2 linked regions of the Bombyx mori genome follow. The protein of the gene in region 1 interacts with the protein of each later gene in a biochemical or structural test. Links are inferred from orthologs where the notes say so. Each region holds a gene or a part of one and is shown on either strand. Other genes may lie near its edges.

Region 1 (3,838 bases):
GCCAGCCAAAAGGTATTTTTTTCCCTTAAAATACGAACCCGATGAATGATTCCGGCGAGGTGCAAGTGTTTGATGCCGCACAGCATCTGGTACAGCAGATAGCTCATCCGTTCGTGATCCAGATCCATCTGAATCACCTGCAATTAGCATTTTAACGCTTTTAGTGCCGAACTTGTTTCAATACAATTTACAAAAATAGCCAAAATATTTCTCAAAAAAAGTAGGACATTTAAAAAAAAAAAACAAAAAAAAAAATTACATTTGTAAATCAATGCATACAATGGAAAATATTTTGAAATGGTTCTTTATAAACGTTATTTTAGTTTATTAAAAACATGATTGTTTATTTGTATATTGTGAATAAAATTATATCCTTACATTATAAGTTAGATTAGTTTTCGTTATCGTGTTGTTTTATCGTATAATTTTACTTACTTACTATCGTTTTACTTATGTCTTTTATGTATCTTTTTAGCTTGTGACATGTATTGTGAGCCTAATAAATAAACAAATAAATAAATTAATTAATTATACAGGACTGACTTGGCACAGATTAGCGTCCATCAGCTCCATAACCAGATACACGTCTTGGAATTCCTCGAGGCTTTTCTGCGGCGTGAACGCGTTTAGCAATCCGATTATCTACAAACAACGGCACATCATTAAATTTAAATACTGAACCTCTATTGTCATGCTAGCAATTCCTTTATTGCCATGGAAGAACTGCAATTTAAATGCCGGCTGCATTGTCAAGTCGTTGACAAGAATCTCTTAGGCCAGGGGTCGACAAGCAGAAGCCAAATATAGATAGCACGTAATTGGATTTTATTTAAGGTGCCATTTTTTAGAACATATTATCGAGGGGTGAAGGGTTATTTGGTTTAAGCGAAATTTTTTGAACTTTACAAGAGAGCCATTAAAAGGTTATCATTTTGAAAAATATATTACGAAAAAAAAACTTCTTCAACTCTTTGAATGGAGTAAACTTAATTGAAGTTCAATTAAAACGTCGAACAATAATAATAATCAACGTTAATACCAAATAAAAAGCACCTTTAATTACGAAAATAAATTTCGCGTATTAAGCGAAATTTCGCTAAAACCAAATGTTCTTTCACCCCTCGATATATTTCTATAGCCTTTTGTTTAAAAAAATTTTACTCTTTACAAGGCAAGATAGTAAGCAATATTTTGTGCCTACACTAAATATTTCGCGAAAGAGTCATAGCTGTTGTATCAAAGGGCCGCGGGTTGCCGACCACCTTTTTAGGCAAATAAAAAATAACCAAGCTTACATTTTTATGGTTGACAAGTTTCATAAGTTTGAACTCCCTGTAAGCTCTTTTCGCGTGCGTCACGTTCTGAAACGGACGCGACAACTTCTTTATGGCAACATTCTGTTGCGTCACCGTGTCGTATGCGGCACTGGAATACAAAATCAAACAGTTTAGCTTTAAATTTTATTAATTTTTTATTAACACTTAGAAATCGATGAGCAATCATTTCATATTATAAATTCAGTTTCTTCTTCAGCGTGGAGCGGAGTGAAAAAGGTTGTGGTAAAGTTCATTTAAACGAAAAATCAAATACCAATAGTTTATTTTAATTGCCGCCGTAATGAGTTAAGAATTGTTTATGGTTTTTTAGTGAATAATTTACCTGTTTATACACACACATGAACATAAAGAATTAGAGTAATAAACTTATTAATAATAATAAATACAATATTTATAAATAAACCTATTAAAAAACCGGCTATTAAAAAAAACGCAGTTTGAAAATTATTAAGATAAAGCCATGCATATTAATGTAATGACGAAAGTATGTAGTACCAAAAATTTACCTGTTCAATACATAAAAATCAAAACGATGTTTTAATACTATTTATGATACAGATGATAAATGTGCAATACTGAAAACTCGTATGTCAATCAAAAAAAATCAAAAACAGAAAACGGCCATTTTGAAAAAAGTGACAAGAGCGGGAATTAAACATCACACTCACTCGTTAGCTTTATTCCAGAACGATCCTTTTTCAACATTATTAATCAGCCATCCAATAAACCGAAACAATGGACACCAATCGTGAATTTCGTCCACCATCGAATTTCTTAAGAACAACATTTTAATACCAATAAAATCACAAAAATACAAAAATAAATCCGTTGCACGCAAAAGTTTCACATACGGACATCGCTTGGTTAACGCGGGAATTTTAAATTAGTACAGATTAGTCCCAAAAGCTTGAAGCGGGAGTTTGATTGACCATTGTATTGGCGCGGCTTACCACACCATGCCCTGGGCGCCCGCGCCTCTGACCACCAGCTCAGTGTACCGGGTCGGGATAGTAAACACCGCATCACCGACCGTCACTGAGTAATACTGTATCATCTTACCGCTATTATACTCGATCAGCTACAAAAGAAATTGCATGTTTATTTTCTTCATGCGCGTGTGTGACAGTGTTCTGGCTGAATGATTATGGATGTTGTTGCTTCTTTTTCAGAATTAGCACCCCTTTTTAAAGATATTTGATTTCTAAGCGTAATGTTGGTGTGTAATGATAGCTTCGGGTCTTTAATTATTAACGTTTTATGTTTGTTGTTCACAATTAAATTGCAAGTTCTCAATGGCACAGCATAGACGAATGAAAGAACTCTCGAACCATCTGGTCTTAAGTGTTTACAAAAGACCATAGAGAATAGAGAGAGCTGTCAACATTTTTGGATGAAACAATACAAATAATAAATACACAAATATATAGTACGTAAAATCATGCCCCTTCATAATGTAGATAAAACTAATATTTATAAAAAAAAAACTATCATTAAACTCTATCGAAAATCTAATAATGTGAATATTTTAAAACAAAATGCCAGATTGTGAATATGTATCGTGCTGGATCGTGCAAGAGTGATAGCGTGCTGTATAAAAATTGCGAATTATTAAGTAAAATACACATAAGAATTTGCCTATTCTTAAACTTATTACATTGCATGCATGCTACTAAAGAATGAAGTGATTATACAACCCACCGTTGTTTATAATTCGATTTAAAGAATCTCATTACAAAATAGAACGCACGCGATAGAGATAGGTAAGACGGAGATGACGCCATCATGTCCGTGCCGGTCGACAATACTCCCTACCACTTTAGAGGAGGAAATTGGGATAAGAACTTTGAAAAGTAGAGGTTTTTTTTTAATGCCCTTGTAGGCATACTCCCTACCACTTTAGAGGAGGAAATGGGATAAGAACTTTGAAAAGTAGAGGTTTTTTTTAATGCCCTTGTAGGCATACTTCCTACCACTTTACAGGAGGAAATTGGGATAAGAACTTTGAAAAGTAGCGGGTATTTTTTTTAATGCCCTTGTAGGCAGACGAGCACATGGCCCACCCGATTGTGAGTGGTTACCGTCGCCCATAGCCTTCAGCAATGCCGGGGGCAGAGCCAAGCCACTGCCTAGTAGTTGGGGGGATGGGATAGTTTTATTGGGATACAAGTTGAGGATATGTTATAGCAACTAAAAGTGGCCGGACGCGCGTGGTAACAGCTAGAGACGCTGTTACCAACTTAAGAATCTACTAACCGTAATATGTTATTCTTTAAATATTTCTTATGAAACTCGAGATCTTTGCTGTGATTCCTAGTTACATTATTTAAACAAAACTAAGACAAATTATCACGTTGTTACTTAAAATGTATTTGTAAAATGTTAAGTGCAAATCATGAAACTGTAATCCTATAGTTGTTTGCAAAATGTTTGTATAAAAGCTAGAGTATAATAAACTGGTGGTATGATCTCTTGTGAGTCCGCACGGGTAGGTACCACCACCC
Region 2 (2,978 bases), on another chromosome or scaffold:
GTTGGAAAAATTGATCATTCAAAACGGTATGGTGACAACCGCTACCCCTACTCCGGGAGCGCCTGTCTTATTTCCCGCAGTAGCACCTACGGAGGAACAAGAAATGTACGCGCGACCTTTCGTCGAAGCGCTAGACAAGCTGCACCACGGCGAGGCAGTGACGCCGCTCGGACGTCGAGTATATGCCGATTTGGACAGGCCGCTAGAGCGATACCCCACTCCCATCGTGAAGGATGAGCCCCAGACGGTGCCGAGCGCGGCCAGCACGCCGCCGCTATCACCCATCGACATGGACACTCAGGAAAAGATCAAACTGGAGAGAAAGAGACAGAGGAATCGGGTAGCCGCTTCCAAATGTAGACGACGTAAGCTGGAACGTATTTCAAAGCTGGAAGAGAAAGTGAAAATTCTTAAAGGTGAAAATGCTGAACTAGCACAGATGGTGGTGAAACTAAGGGACCACGTGCACAGGCTAAAGGAGCAGGTCCTAGAGCATGCGAATGGTGGCTGCCACATCGAGTCGCACTTCTGATCGCGTCGCCATCGCCGCTCCTCCACATTCCATGCTAGTCGCGCCCGCTAGGACGCAGCATACAAAGCGATTTGTGATCTTAATTTTACTGTGTAATATATAGTTAATGAACCCTAGTGTGTAAGGTGTTAAAGTCGCTACGTTAAAGAATGCTGTGGATTTCTGGTTAAGTTTGAGAGATTAGGTTTGCCAGTGGTGTTATGCAGAGAACCGTCGATTGCGGACACTATTGTAATTATTGTTGTATGAGAATAGTTATGTCGGTGATATTGCAAATATTTAAAAGGAAGGATGTACTTAGCGCAAGTCACAACTTGGAAAGCCTTAGCTTCTGTCGTAAGTTGCAAGATTCGTTTTCATCGTATCAGTATTGAGTTGTCTCATTTTACTTAGAATAGTGTAGAAACTAGAAAGGATAATCTTGCGACGTCATTTACAGACTAAACGAGGTTGATGCGACGTTGCCAGTTTTACGTTTATTTCCCCGTTTCAACGATATTGCTGTTCTCCTTTGTTGCATTTGTTTTGCTATTGTCTATTGTGTAGCCATTTTTATAAATAGACTTAATTTTAATAATAAAATCTCATTTTGGCTGTAATTTGTACATTAGACAAAGAACACTGTGACAGGCATCGACAGGACCAAAATTTAATACGAGTAAAGGAGATAGCATGGCGTAAAACTGGCACCGGCGCATCCAGCGAAGTCACGAGCGGATGTTCTGCTAATTAAAATTCCGCCTGTGCCGCCCTCGCGGAATGGCGGCCATGTGTTCAACAATCGGACGTTCCGAATCACGTTTTGTTGCACAAGGTTAGCTTTTTACCGCTGCAGTAGTGCAGTATCTTAGGCACTGGCGCGAAATGGAACGTTGTCGATCGTCACGCTTGAATTGTTTGAAGACAAATTGCGCGCTTGTGTGCGAGACTGATTGAATGTGTGCCTTGCTTGTAGTACGTACGAGAGAGCGCAATGTATTTTTTTCTGATAGGAAAGATGATTTCACGGAACTGAACCGGTGCTGTATTGTAGAGGACGTGACTTGTAATCTAAAGCCGTCCGTATAAAAACTTATTTTGTGAGAGTTTTCGTATTGTGTGATGTATGTATGCAACAGAGATTAGACAGAGCGAATGTGTGATGTAAGTATTTATTGGTAAGAATGAGAATGTTTTAATGAATTAGGATGAAGTAGCAATCTCGAGTGCCTACGCTTTGTAAACTAAAGCTATACCTACATATGTTTATTGTTTTTGTTACCATTGTGTGCTACAAGAAATTGTACTGTACCATTGTCTTGTGTAAGTAATTTAAGTAATTATAAAAGCAATTAAAAACGTTGGATTGTTATAGTTTATAGTGCAGGATGAGGTGCGTCTCTGAGTTTGTTCAGAGTTGCATCTCCTCTTCCTATTTGTATTATTTTTATACAAACAAATTCTTCAGAATGTTAACAATAATTTGTAAGTTTATAAAAAATAAAGAAACAGTTATACTAAAATATATTATATTTCTATGAATTTAACGTAACAATATTGTTTATAAAACGCATTACGTGTATTGTATAAAAAAAAACAATGAAAGAAAAATAAATTATGAGGATTATTATACCATTTAAAATTTATTTCATTTTAAGAATCTCACACTTTCCCTAGTTTTTCCATATATGCCACAAAAATATATATCGAAAGATAAAAAGCATAAAAACAATGTTATTGTGAAGAAAAAACCAAAGTTAGCACGCAATGTAATCGTAAACAAGGAGGCAATATTACGGCATAACAGCTGTTTTGCTGATTCATCAGCATAAAATACGATATTACGTAAGATCTACATGATGCTTGTATTCATAATCGGGACACAATATGTAATATGACATTTGTAACACGTGTGGGGCATTGTAAATAAACAATGTCCTAAAGTATAAGGTGACATTTCCCTCAAGTGGCAAGTAAATTATCATGTTCCATCACTACATAGTATAAAACAAAGTAGCTTTCTCTGTCCCTATATCTGTCTGTCCCTATGTATGCTTAAATCTTTAAAACTACGCGACGGATTTTGATGCGGTTTTTTTAATAAATAGAGTGATTGAAGAGGAAGGTTTATATGTATAATAACATCCATTAAATAGTGGAGAAATCAATAATAAATTACAGTTTCCGAAGCGAAGCGAGGGCGGGTCGCTCGTGTTTTATAAAAATGAATGAACAGTTCCTACGATTTAAACATTACAGTTGAAAAAGGGCTTTATGACAATACAGTTGGATCGATAGCAGAGGAGGATGTCGAAAGCACTGCTCTTTTTACCTCTTCTACGAATCAATTACCTATATATTCCAGTTTTTTAAAGTAGGAAAAGCCTTTATCCAAACGACACCACTCATGTCTCTTAAGCGGTGACGATATTAACGTTCTGTTGTTCTGACGGCATGGAAATAAAGG

Evidence for each region.
Region 2: of the proteins of Jnk (region 1) and transcription factor JunD, one has a biochemical effect on the other in vitro, tested with the Drosophila melanogaster proteins (2 studies listed by BioGRID). The link is inferred for Bombyx mori from reciprocal best matches to the Drosophila melanogaster genes bsk and Jra.

What each region holds. Positions count from the first base shown.
Region 1 is NC_085109.1:1,366,639-1,370,476, forward strand, and holds part of Jnk (c-Jun NH2-terminal kinase), read right to left. Parts: intron 2,416-3,838; coding exon of another isoform or gene 2,288-2,415; intron 1,426-2,287; coding exon 1,296-1,425; intron 643-1,295; coding exon 544-642; intron 138-543; coding exon 39-137; intron 1-38. UniProt on the Drosophila melanogaster protein: Mitogen-activated protein kinase and key component of the c-Jun N-terminal kinase (JNK) pathway which phosphorylate and activate transcription factors involved in a wide range of biological processes including response to various stresses, cellular proliferation, differentiation and migration, and regulation of cell shape.
Region 2 is NC_085125.1:13,168,505-13,171,482, reverse strand, and holds the end of transcription factor JunD, read left to right. Parts: coding exon 1-532; 3' UTR 533-2,153; downstream 2,154-2,978.